Linked DNA regions of Caenorhabditis elegans. The protein of the gene in region 2 purifies or fractionates together with the protein of the main gene of each other region. This does not show direct contact. Each region holds a gene or a part of one and is shown on either strand. Other genes may lie near its edges.

The links. The genes of interacting proteins can lie anywhere in the genome.
Region 1: the proteins of otpl-8 (region 2) and dnj-1 fractionate together in Caenorhabditis elegans (co-fractionation; one large-scale study listed by BioGRID). This does not show direct contact.

Annotation. Positions count from the first base shown.
Region 1 is NC_003282.8:11,297,269-11,305,059, forward strand, and holds dnj-1 (DnaJ homolog subfamily B member 1), read left to right. Parts: upstream 1-1,767; 5' UTR 1,768-1,774; coding exon 1,775-1,840; intron 1,841-1,890; coding exon 1,891-1,963; intron 1,964-2,687; coding exon 2,688-3,086; intron 3,087-3,621; coding exon 3,622-3,780; intron 3,781-3,933; coding exon 3,934-4,165; intron 4,166-6,568; coding exon 6,569-6,732; intron 6,733-6,952; coding exon 6,953-7,065; 3' UTR 7,066-7,521; downstream 7,522-7,791. Other genes in the region: B0035.15 (uncharacterized protein), read right to left, coding at 38-100, 160-243, 286-400, 445-621, 671-822, 879-980; B0035.13 (Fungal lipase-type domain-containing protein), read right to left, coding at 7,563-7,730, 7,780-7,791.
Region 2 is NC_003284.9:12,266,434-12,272,679, forward strand, and holds otpl-8 (Otopetrin-2), read right to left. Parts: upstream 4,509-6,246; 5' UTR 4,507-4,508; coding exon 4,443-4,506; intron 3,999-4,442; coding exon 3,881-3,998; intron 3,826-3,880; coding exon 3,714-3,825; intron 3,662-3,713; coding exon 3,530-3,661; intron 3,480-3,529; coding exon 3,407-3,479; intron 3,363-3,406; coding exon 3,214-3,362; intron 3,172-3,213; coding exon 3,073-3,171; intron 2,343-3,072; coding exon 2,223-2,342; intron 2,176-2,222; coding exon 2,069-2,175; intron 2,009-2,068; coding exon 1,895-2,008; intron 1,665-1,894; coding exon 1,485-1,664; intron 1,437-1,484; coding exon 1,209-1,436; intron 1,090-1,208; coding exon 892-1,089; intron 831-891; coding exon 665-830; 3' UTR 520-664; downstream 1-519.

The sequences.
Region 1 (7,791 bases), on a different chromosome or scaffold from region 2:
TTTAAGATGAAGAGGTTATTGGGAAAAGCGAACTAACTCGTTGATATTCGTCCAGGAATTTCGTATTGTTACTGATATGGCGAATCTTTTTTCCGACATCCTGAAAATTAGAAGCTTTTAATTTCTTTCAGTTTTCAAGATCAATTCGATTGTTCTTACCTTTGCCTCGTCTAAAATTCGTCTTTCATCTGAATTTCCTTGTACATGATCTTGAAGAGCTGCAAGGGCATGACGATTGACAACCTGAACTAATAAAATATTTTTCAAAAATTTAATTCGAACAACTTTTTGTTTATCCTTTCTCTCAAATGGTCGAAAATATTCATAAATGTCATCTAATGTTTCTGCATTTACACGAGAAGTAACAACATGATCAGCAACAAATTCAGCGGCTTGCTTTCTGAATGAATGTTTTAGACTAATCATTAAAAACATGAATTCTACTTTTGTGCTGGTGAACTTGAATCGGAAAGTAGCTCTTGGCGGAATCGAAGATATTCTAGCGCTTCTTTGAACATCAATTTATCTTTCGGAATTCTTTCAACGGGCGGCTCGTAGAACCCATATTCCCAGATGGGATCATTCCGATGGAGAAATTCCGATTCACGAGTGGGAAGATCTCTGAATTTTATTTTTATAAAAATCAAATGCAATTTGAAACTAAACTCACTTCGTAGATGTCCATCTTTCAACTGGATCAGTTGATTTGATGTACATTTTATTCATATTTTCCACCAAACTTTCATTTTTCATCGCTAATTCTTTTTTGATTTCTTCGCTAACTTCTCGTGATTTTTCAGTTGGATATTTTGGTGGGACGACCTGAAAATTTAGAAGTTATTAAGTTAATATTTTAAAAATTATTTTTGTACTCTTACTTTTGTTTCCCCTTTTTCAATTTTCGCTACTTCTTCTACAGACTTTTTGAGATAATTCGCATTCTTCACACCAGACCCAACCTTTTTCCAAAGTCGTTTCATCTGAAAATTGTAATGACAGCAGAGAGTTTCGTCCAGAAGTGAATAGGGAAATTAATAAAAAGGATCGCAAAAATTCGGGGTACGGTACTTCTTTAAAGGTACAGCACCCGAATTTATTTTTGGGTTTCGCAACGAGTTTCGTCATGCAACTTTTATCGATTTTTTTCGCAGAATTAGCGACACGTTTTCTTATTTCTAATCCAGAAATTTCTTATTTAATTTAACCAAAATTTTGCATCATGGAGGAAATATGTGTTTTTAATATAATGCTTCAAATTCTTTACTCAAAGTTCTTTGCGAAAAAATGATTATTAGTTTTAATCCGTTTCACTGACTGAAATTTATGAACCCAAAGTGTTTAACACCCGAAATTTATTAAATTTGAAATAAATATATTTTATAAATAGAAACAAAAATAAGCAATGACGCTCCACCGCAATAGCTGCCACCGATCAATAATTGAAAGTTAGTCACTCACTGCTTCTTGGGCTACGTTGGCTACTCGCCTGCTCGTTTCTCTGCGACACTTCACTTTTTATGCTCTCTCGCTTCTCGGACAAATATCTTTTTTCTGCAAGACTAGGAACAGACATTTCGATGGCTCATTATTGGTTCCAAAAGCTTTCTATTTTAAATTCAATTTAAACCAATGTTTTTAAATTTTAATTCTATCTAGTTCGAAGTTCTTGGTTTTCTTCTTATTTTTAAACGTTATCGTTATCATGAGATCTCTTTTCTGTTGTTCTCGTTAACTGAAACAGTCAATAATCTATTTTTATTGGTTCAGCCCAAAAATGACAGCAGACGCCAATAAAAGCGAATCACTGTTGTGTATGGATAAAGCTCGAGAGGCTATTAAAGTGAGTTTTGTGATTGTTCAGCATTTCAGTTAATAAATTATGTATTTTAGTCTGGTGACACCGATAAAGCAAGGAGAATGCTGTTGAAGGCGAAAAAGTTGGATCCTGGTCAAAATATTGAATGTAAGATTTCTTTTCAGATGTAGAGCAGCGTGAATGTGAGATTTTGCTTTAAAATGCTAAAAATAGACTGAACATCAGAAATATAAAATAACAAGAACGAAAAAATCGCGAAAGTATGAAAAATCTAACTATTAAAAATTAGATTTTTCAATTTTCGCTAAAACCAATATGGATTTATCCTTTCACACTTTTTTTCGTTTCTTTTTTGTGGTATTTCCGAATTTCAGACTGTTTTGAGTATTTTCCCCTTTTCCGCTGCTCCATCTTTAAATTTCTGCACAAACTCTGTAACTTGAAAGATTTGAAAGTTGATGCACATGCCCGTATTCTGAAAAAATCTGTGTTTATTTAATTTTCCATGCAAAAAAATTGAAATCAATTTCCAATTTCCGTTCACACAAACGTCTGTTTTTCGTTTCTTCGGCAAAAAAAACCGAAGTGAAACCAAAATGACCATTACGAAGAGATACAAGATACATCATTGAAGGACCCGTTTATTACAACCCACTTGGTGAGAGAAACGATTTCTTTCACTCTCTACGCCTATCAAAAATAAGAAAAAGCAGGAACCTTTGTGCAAGAAACGTTGAGACGTGAGACATGTAATTTGAGAGTTTTGTTCTTACTCAACAGTTGTAAAGGTTATAGATAAACTTTGAAAAATCTTGAAAAAAGTCGCTGAAAATTTAATTAAAATAATTTTAAAAAAAAACACTATTTTCAGTTCTAACGAAAAAGATAGATGATATGACAAACAACACATCATCATCTTCCCAAACATCTTCATCACGTGCTTCAGAAGAACGTAGTTATGCTCACGACGATCACTATGATGACCCAAACTTAAGGAATCGAAAAGCTAGAAGTCCTGTAAAAAAGAATGGAAAAACAGAACCAGAACCAAAACAACGATCTGCATCAAGAACACCTAAACTTGGCGTTGATTATACCAGTGAACAAAAAGAATTGGTCGAGAGAATTCGTCATTGCAAGGATTATTACGAAATTCTTAAAATTGACAAGAAGGCGAGCGATGATGATATTCGTAAAGAATATCGAAAATTGGCGTTGAAGTTACATCCGGACAAGTGTAGAGCTCCACACGCTACGGAGGCGTTCAAGGGTAATTTTTTACAGTTTTAATTTGAAAATTATAAAAGACCGAATTATTTTTGAATTCCCGCTCAAATTAATGGCCTAGTTTTGACATTTTTGGTTTTCCGGTTTAATTAATTGCTGATCTTCTTTCTTGTGGTTCACATTAAAACAACGCTAGTGATAATTTTAATTAATGTTAAAATATTGATTTTATGGCCAATTTTTGAGTTTCTGCGAATTTTTACGTTTCCTTATGTTACAAATCATGAAACAAAGAGATATAAAATAATACAGCCGAAAATGCAAAATTTTCTGCAAAGTTAATAAAATTGAAAAATGTTTTAAATTTTTAAAAAATCAAATTTGGTATTCTGGGACCATTTTCCGCGATTTCGGGCAAAAAATCACCCTGAACTATAATTTATCTATCTTATGCCATCTTTCAATAAAATTTTTCTATAAATATTTTTTGATACTTTTCCATCGAAAAAAAACTTAAACGAATTTAAATCGTTTTTTTAAAAAGAAATCTCGTTAAAAATTGTTTAATTGTTTTTCAGCTCTTGGAAATGCGTACGCAGTGCTTTCTGATACTGATAAACGCCGACAATACGATCAATATGGAGCTGAAGCAGCGAATTCACACACTCCGACAACAAGAAGACGTGGTGGAGGACATGGTGCATTCTTTGAACATGATTATGCACATGGATTCGAGGGTTAGCTACTTTAAACATTTTTAGACAAACTGCTTCATCAGCAGTCTGAATTAATTTGAGATATTCTCCTATGTCAATTGCTCAACAATTTAAAAATCAACTAAATTTATTAGATTGTGATAAAATAACAATTAATCTTTTTTTTTATTGCAGCCGAATTCACACCAGAAGAGATTTTCAACATGTTCTTCGGAGGCGGATTCCCTACCGAACAAGTTCGCCGACGTGCTCGATATGCTCAACAGCAACAGTATCATCATTATGAACAACAGCAAAGTCCATATGGACCACTTCTTCAATTATTGCCACTTATCGCCATTATGGTCATTGGATTGTTAGCCCAGTTGATGGTTGGAGAACCTGCGTATTCACTTCATCAAACTTCGTTAGTTTTTACTTTTTTTGAAACTGGAAAAAGTGAATAGTAAAATGCCTGTCAATTTTGTTACGTACATTAAGGCATTCAAATCAGGTGCAATCATGTATTGCGCAGATGCGAATTTTTGCGATTCCAAAATTACTGTACCCGGTCTCGACACGAAAAGCGCTTTTAACGAGTATTGTAATTCAAAACTTTGGTCCCTGCGGAATTTTTATCGATTTTTCAAATTAAAAAAATTTATATGCACTTATGAAATGAAAAAAAAAACGTATAAATTTAAGAGATCGTGAGAAAAACTATGAAAAATCGATGAAAATATTACAGCAACGAAAGTTTAAAATTACAGTACTTTTTTGTTTTTGCATTTAACAAATAATTGTCGTGTCGAGACCGGGAGTTTTGGCGCAAACTTTCGCGTTTGGGTAATATGTAAAAAAAGAAAAAGTACACTTTAATCAGCATTGAAAAATTAATCTTGAAACAAGTATTTTTCAATAGCCTTTTGGTCAGTATGATAATTTCAAATAAATTTTTCACAAAAAGAAACCTTTGGAAAAACTGGAATTTTTAGTTGTGTTTTATATTTAAGTATATATTCATCGCGAAATTTTCCAATTTTAAAAAAATTCCAAGTTCCGTTACCAAAATTACAATTTCCACATTAACAGTACTACAGTGCGTGCAACTTCTATAGCGCCCCCTATTTTTTTCGTGTTTCGTCACTTTCCCAAACTTTTTTGAGAAAACCATTATAGCCATTCGATTTCAAATGTCAAAAAACCCCCTGTCCGAAGTTTTCATGAAAAAATATCAAAGACTACGGTAATTAGGTCAAAAAGTCTGAAAAACGACCGTGCAACTTCTATAGCGCTCCCTCAAATTTTCGCTATTTTTCAATAAAATACCTAGTTTTATGAGATTTCTGAAAAGGATATAGTATTATATATTAAGAAAAATGATCATAAGGTCTCATTTTTCAATTTTCAACAGAAATATATTACGTGAAAACTTCTGGGATCCCAAGAGTGGCCTGAAACGCTTCACTTTGTGGCCAGTTCTCGGCACCCACTGCATGTATTGATACGAAACTTGAACTAATCATTTAATTTTGTTCACTAAAGATATTTTGAAAGGTTGATATTAAATTCGGTGGAGATAGGTAAGGTAGATAGCGCTGCATGTATTGACTGCATGTATTGATACGAAACTTGACCGAAATTTTCATTTTGATTTACTGATAATGTTTCAATAAGTTGTCATAAAATTTGGTCAATATGGGCCAGGTTGACAGCCCAAGTTAATAGTAAGGCTAGTAACCAATCAGTTGTTCTATCGAGAGGCATGTCAGAGAATGGATGTGCGTCTTTTCTGGTTGACAAGATATCCATTCAATTAACTATTTAAAACAAATTTTGTCCGGATCGAAAAATGTTGGAAAATGATCGGTAAAATTCGAGAAATATCCCTCAAACAAATTAACAGGTGCAGAAACACTGGGCGGGTCTCTTTCCCGTGGTTCCGCGCGTTTCATTCGGGATCGAACGACAAAAGAACTGTCGAAGTGTTCAGAGGGGTCACAGAACTTGCATCCGAACTTAATATTTCAAAGTGTTTGTTAAAAACTAAAAATTCACCCAAAAACCTGCGGGCAGTGAACTCGCCCAGTTTTGATGTATGTGCAAATTTTTTAAAGGAGATCTCCTGTATTGGACCAATCATTTTTCAAAAGTTTGTTGTTCGAATAACACTTATAAAAATTTCAACAATGAATATGAAGCTTTTCTACCAGAAATGAACCGCGTCCAATCTCTGGCACGTCGCAAAAATCTGTTCTAGAGAGAAAAACTTATTTCCTCACAATGAGCAGCGCTATCTACCTTACCTATCTCCACCGAATTTAATATCAACCTTTCAAAATATCTTTAGTGAACAAAATTAAATGATTAGTTCAAGTTTCGTATCAATACATGCAGTGGGTGCCGAGAACTGGCCACAAAGTGAAGCGTTTCAGGCCACTCTTGGGATCCCAGAAGTTTTCACGTAATATATTTCTGTTGAAAATTGAAAAATGAGACCTTATGATCATTTTTCTTAATATATAATACTATATCCTTTTCAGAAATCTCATAAAACTAGGTATTTTATTGAAAAATAGCGAAAATTTGAGGGAGCGCTATAGAAGTTGCACGGTCGTTTTTCAGACTTTTTGACCTAATTACCGTAGTCTTTGATATTTTTTCATGAAAACTTCGGACAGGGGGTTTTTTGACATTTGAAATCGAATGGCTATAATGGTTTTCTCAAAAAAGTTTGGGAAAGTGACGAAACACGAAAAAAATAGGGGGCGCTATAGAAGTTGCACGCACTGTACTTCTTTGAATACTTTTCTAAAATATCAATTTTCAGAAAATTCACAATAAAACGACTGACAGCAGATTTACGAGTTCCATATTTTGTACGAACGGACTTTGAGACCTCGTATCGAGGACGAATCCGACAAGTTGAGCAACAAGTGGAAGATGATTATATTCAGAATTTACGGATGAATTGTTATAAAGAACAAAATCTAAGTGAGTTGTTCAATTATTTCAATTTTATTTGAAAAAAATACTTATTTAAAACAAATTATTTTCAAAGGTGTGCTTGTGGAACGAAATTTGAAATTAAATTAAATTTCGTCCATTTCAATTTAACGTGATGTATATTTTTCCTTAAATAAAATGTTCACCGCTCTAAAAATTCATTTAAAATACTTTTATATATCAAAAAATAAGCATAAAACTTTTCCAGAAGAAACAAAACTTTATCGAGCTCGTTGGATGCGTGACGAAGCAATGATGCGTGATGCAGAACGAACACCTCTTCCAAGTTGTATTCGTCTCAATGAAATTTATTCTCATTGATTTCACCCAGTTGATCTGTTTTCATATAATATTCAAATTGTCTGGAAATGCCGGTGTATCACTTCCTCCTCTTTTCCTCATCTCCTCCATTCAAGACTTTTATTAGGCCTCCTACCCCTTTCTTAAATTTTTCGGAAAAGAGATAATGGTTCAATTCTCCTCCACAAAAAACACTTGTATACGGGACAATATCGTTTACTTTTTGCTCGTGCCTCTTTCTTTTTTTTAATTATTACTTCATGTTGTTTTCTTAACGTTCCTCGAAAATGGCTCAGCTAAAGAGTTCTGTGATTTGTGTGCTCCAGTCAGAAGATTTCCACGTTTTCTTTTATTTTTATTGCTCCCCAATATATTCTTCTACTCGTTTTTTGTATTCTTGTCGTAAAACCATGATTAGTGATTTATTTTCTTTGAATAATAAAATTGCCAAAGATTTCCAAGTGCCTTGGCGAAGATATTCATTGGTAAATCATTTATTCAAAAAGAAAATTGTGATGTCAGTTACATCCGGCTTCTCCCCACTGGGAAACGTCTTTGGTGAAATAAGTGAGATGATCAGAAACAGATGCAGTAATCAAAAGTCCATTGGAACAATCATTCGATTCATCGGAAGATGAGCAAACTTTGAAAGAAGCTCCAGCATTCATTGATTCTTTGTAGAAAACCTAAATTCAAATTTCTAATCCTTTCAGACTAATATTATTTCTTTCAAACCTCTGCTTTATG
Region 2 (6,246 bases):
ATATGTACGAAAATTTTTAAAAATTATAATGTGTATTATTGATAGATGTTTATTTATTTTTATTTATATGTGCATTAATATTATTTTCTCTATTTATTTTTTTTTGCGAATGAAAGTTTCATGTTTTAGATTGAGAGGTTTTGAGGATCACGTTACACAAAAATTCAGTGTGAAAGGACATGACTTGTTTAAAATTTTTAGGTTTTGGTATTCTGACTCCACATTTATCAGAATAGTCTAGTTAGAACTTTTATAACCGAGAACACAACTTTAAGTTATTATAAATTACAATTAATCTTAGAAATTACTTATGCAAAGATTTTTCAAAGATTTTTTGTGATAATGATTTCACTAGTCTCTGTTCTGAGATAACAATAACCCTACCTAGATGCATAGATGCCTAGACCATCTATATGACTTATTGATAATTTATTGATGTTCTTCATTAGTTGAATCATAAAGACTATACATTATTTCAAATTGAGAAAAAATTTATTGTCCCGAACGAACATAAAAAACTAGTGGTACAAAAAAAATCCCGCTTGGTGAGTGAAAAATATCAAAATTAAATGAACAAGTAACTGTGGAAGATCTGAGTGATATGAGAATTGGGTCTAATTTAGCATTGCATACGAAATGAATATAATATACAAGTAGTAGAAATTCAATGTTTCAATAATTGTGGAGATGGAATCTCCTTGATATCAGAAATTGGGGTGATTGCGGTTAAGTTACTATCAGAAAGGGACATGTGTTCATGATCGTATTCGTTGCTTTTTGTGCTGTATGTGTGCTTCCATATCTCGGCAAGACATGCTGAACTATGGAATCTGTAACAAAATAATTAATCAACAACTAGAAAATTTTAAATAAAAGCTAATTAAGATTTACCTATAGAAAACCAGCAATGGTCCCACTGCGTAAATAATGTAATTATATTGAGTAGCTGCTTTGCTAGAAAACCCGAAACTTGATTTCATGCCTTCAAAAGTGTGGAAGACGAATAATGTAACATTGGAGACGAGTAAAAATGTTATGATTTCCTTTCCAGGTTTATATTTCATCGAGTATTTGGAAAGACAGCGAAGTCTGAAATTTTGATGAATATTTTGATAAAAAATTAAAAACTCGGAAGTCTCATCATATGCAGTGATGGAAACATTGTATTTACACGAAAATATGTTTTGCACGCTTTTCCATGTCCCTACCTTGAAGTAGTGAGTATGAAAGCGGCTTGAACCACAACTTGAATCATTCGAATCACAAAAACAAACGCCGGCAATGCGCTAACAGTGAGATCAGCAGATCTGCGACAAGTTATGAATACATCGATTCCAACTGCACAGTACAAAATTTCTCCAATCAAACCAATTATCAGCAAAATCTCATCAATTACTTCCCCGTGAGCATGTAGACGGTACTGAAGATGTCGCATTCTAAAATATAATGGATTAGTACTAATAGTTTTAGTGTACTCTGTAAACCTCCATAGACCAATGATACATGCGCCAAGGGCAATTGAAAAGAGTGACAAATCCACAATACCAAATACTAATTGAGCCCCAGAGCTGTTTCGCAATGATTCGAATATTGTGTACATTCCCATGGAGACCAAAGAGCCAATAAGGAATATGATTCCAGCAAATAAGCCTGTAGATGAAGAGCTGGAAAAAAATAGGATAATGCCCAATGAGATCAAAAAAATCTAATACAAGTTTCGACGGCTCCAAGTCTACACTAGCTTATAATAATATACTTTTCAATAAGGAAAAATATGATGCTCAGTTCATTTTTGTGACATAATGTATATTTCATTGCTAATAAAAATGTATTGAGCGTTAGCGTTTTTAATTTATTTATATTTTCTTATTTTTTTTATTCTCTGAAATTTTACCTGCAATCAATCCTCATTTTCACTTTTCGCTTCCCACTGTTACTCTGTTGATGATTGTTTTGACCTATTGACTTCCACAAAATAAACATGATTGCAGCACCAATTAACGAGTACCTTGAAAAAAAAAACCCATCATCATCACTTTTTTGTTTAGTTCTCTTAGAGTTAACTCACTCCACAATGCAAGTGGTCAAAAATGTGGCAACATCTCCGAAGTGCTCGAGAGCAAACAATCTGCTGGCCACTGGCTCCATCGTCTTTGTCGCCGGAGTGTTGTTGAGCTGAGAGAAGAAAAAGTGAATGACCTATGATACTGCAGAGTACTTACCGTTGAGTTAAGAACTGCGCTTATCAACTCGTGAATCTCTTCGGAAGATGATGACGAGGATGAGGAATAGTACTTTCGAAATGTCTGTTTAAGTTGCGCTTTTTTGTGGGCTTTAGCTTCCTGAAACATAACACCATTTGTTTTGATTTAAAAAATAGAGCTGCATCTAGAAAAATATTTTTGTGTACTCGCAAGCCTTCTTTAATTTTTCAGTAAAGAAAAAACTTTGAATATGAATAAAACTATTTTTTGTTTTTAAGCATAATATATATATATATATATACAAATTGTCTAAGCAATCAAAGGTGGAGTTGCGCTAGTGGTTTTCATGTTTAAAACCACTCAAAATAATGCCAAATGACTGAATTTTTCAAAAAAAAAAATTGAAAATTTTTGTCACAAATAATTTTGAACTTCATCAAAAAAAAGGGGTTTCTATTATTTTCAAACTTTAATTTCGTTTTAATCAACTACGTCTACATTGTAATGATTGGAATATGCGACAATGCTCTGGATTTCCTCAAAAACTAGTATTATCAAAAAAGTTGCCAATTCGCCAATAGTTTAACTGGAAATATCAAAAATCTAAAAGTTTTAATAGTGTTTTATGATGATATATTCAATCGCCTTGGATCTTAATAAGTGTATTAACAGAGACAAAATTGTAAGACAAAATCCCCACAGACGCTATCCACCTTTAAACAAAGAACAATAAATAAATTTACAAGCATTGCGACTAAAATATTTACGGCAAAAACCAATCTTTTTACAATTTTTTTTTTGAAATTATGAATTTTAATTATAATGATACTCTAATTTGCAGTAAAAAGTTATTTTTAAAAAATCAAACTTGTTTAGCCAGCACAAATCGAAACCATGTCCATAAATTCACCGATATCAGGTGCATCATACCAAACGCAACAATTTTACGAGAACTGTTTACAGTTATCTGAAATTCCTTTTTTTCTACAGCACATAAAGAATAGATCACCTTGGAATTGCAAAAAATGAAATGCATTTGAATAAAGGTGAATACTATTGCCACAATCATTTTCGCAATCGCAACTTTTTTGCATGCAACATTTTCAATACACAGAAACAGCTCCAATCCGAATAGAACAATTCCAACGCTTCCGAAAACTGAAATGTTTTATTTTAATCTATTTCTTGTATGTCCCACTTACAAAGAGCACCCAGTCGTAAGTACAATGTGCCAGCTCCTTCTCCATTGTGTTGGCTTTGCATTATGAACCAGACCTGCAGATTTTTCAGTTTCTCAATGAACTTTTATTAAAATTATCCGTTACCTCTGAGTTTTTGATAATTTTATATTTTCTGAGCACTGATATTAATTGATTATACGGCCCGGGATAAATTATAAATATATAGCAGTACGCGAAAAACAGAATGCCAACTCCATACATTGATATGTAGAAGATCTAAAATGATCGCATTGAAAATTTCATTTCATTTCATTGTTTCACTCCTAACCGTTTCAGCAAGCCACATATCGGTTCTCCATGTCGGTGAGACTTCAACCACCAATGATATTATAGTTAAGATTAGTGCATATAAACTGGTTATGAGGCGCACAAAGAAGTTACTGAAATCATATTAAATAGTAAACAATTGAACAAGAATGAGTTAACTAGACTTACGTGGCTCTTGGCTCATGAATCCAAGGTCGTCGGTAGAGTTCATGATGATGTGTGGGTGATGATGGTAGACTATCGCTGTCGCTTCCACCCTTCTCCATATCATCTGCTATCACAATAGCTGAAGGCATAATACTGATATGTTTGAACATAGGTCCAGGAGAAACTCTGTACAGCCCATCTCACAACAAGTAGTACTTTGTATTTGACAGGATAATAAGGGCAAAAATAAGTCCTTGGTATTTGCTTTGTATGTTCAAAGAAGACATAGTGATTCACATAAAATAATCTGTATTCAGAGACTGGCTTAAATAATTTAGTTTTTGCACATTATCGACTTAATTAATATTGACTATATGAACCATAATGCGTGGTTTTTAAATCTATATTTAAAAGGTGCATTCAAATCTTCTAAACCGCTAGTCGAAACACTGTTGCTACTACAATTTTCTATTTAACATTAAGTGATTCAGACCTGAAAAGAATTAACGAAAAAGTTTTGAACTTTTTTCTTACAAAAACCCATAATAATATCAAAAAATCCAAAAATACAAAATCAACTTACGATTGTGACTTGGGCTGTACATTGGCGTCGCCCCTATTTTTAGTTGCTCATCGACCATCAACATATCTGAAACACAAAATTATGAGAACACAGTCTTACAAAACTTTTTAGACAGTAAGGATCAGTTTTCATAAGTAGACAAGGTTCAAGTAGGTATTTTGCGGTGCTCGACCTCTAGTGTCAACGTCTCAGAAATCCGGTTATTAAGCTAGCACCGAATATTTCAGAAATCTTATGTTGTTAACGTTGAGCATTTACTAGATATTTCAAAAAACGGGAGACGCCGCTAGAAAATAACTATTTAATTTTTCTTAATTTTGTGGCAAAACGAAATGTTTCCAGTTGCTCGATAATTTAAGGAAATACTCGGAAGAAATGAAAATTTATCAATTTGCTGGGAGGCACAGAGAAAGTTGAGCAAAATTAATTCCGCCAGGTTTTTTTTTGTGAAACGGAACAACTAGTTACCGTCTGTAACTGTAACTATTTTTAACTGGTCGACCGGTTTGATTAGTCACAATGATCAGCCAAAAAGTTATCAGTTTATCTTACTGCAAAATAAAAACGACACGGAACCTAAAACGTTCACAAGTTTTCGAGTGGACAGAGAGCAAGAAGTGGAGAGCAGAGAAAATGGATCATTATATAATATGCTTGGTAAATAATAGGAAAAAAGTGAAATAATAAGCAGTTGAAAAGTTCATGTAAACCTATGACTTGTAGTTGTTGCTCTTTTGCCTAATTGAATATTGAATACTGACCGGAAGTGTGACTAGTGTACTACCGTAATCATTGTTTGAGAAACGCTTTTGTGAAGGTTCTTTACCCAAAAAACGTGAAAACTGTTGTTTCTCCGACAACTCTCAACTCCGAAAAGTGTTTTCAAATTGAGCAAAGTACTACATACCAGTGCCTAACCAATTATTACTAGCTAGACAGAACGCTTTGACTCAGTAATGGAAAAATGATGAAAACCTATCAGTTATAAAAGAAAAATGAGGTCGAGTAAAGTTACTAAGGTAGGCTAGTAAGTTGGTAGGTAGATTCGGGAGGAGAAGGGGGAGGTGAGAATTAATCAAAACTGGAATATTTATTTGTACTGTGTACACAGAGCTTGAAACGAGGGGAGGCAATAAGATGCCTGGCAATGTTTGTTCGACATCACAGATGGCAACCATTTTTGGAACACGCAATTCTTGACGTTTCAAGTTAGCATGGATTGTTAGAAATTATAGTGGTATGGTCTGCAAATAAACACGCGTACACACATTGAGGTACATGATATTGAGCAAAGAGCAATGGAACATGGATGGAAATAGAACACACATTGATACGGGTCAGAGTTTACAAACTTCTCGGAAAGAGAGTTCGGTAATGACATTGAGTCTATTTTGAAATTTTAAGAAAGAATTGTGATGCTTGATGTTTGATTTGAAAAACTAAATTTTGGTCGAAATTTATTGTGAAACAGCAAACTTCTGTATTGGTAAATTCTAACCTTGCTGTTTGATAATTTATTTGAGAAATTTTAATTTTATAGTCTTATCACAAGAACCCAAGAAACGATATTCTGAAGTTTGCCAAATTTCTTTATTTTCAGAATAAGTGAATTTTTTTGAATATCCACACCGAAACCATTTTGCTCTTATTAATATCATTAGTATTATTTTGTGTATTATTATTGATTTCTTGATGTTTTTTTTTAGATCATAAATGCTTTGATTATCGTATAATTGATGATTTTTTGAATTTTAAATTGTACTATAATTCTTTTACGTAGAATAAACTAAAAATTTTAAGAAAA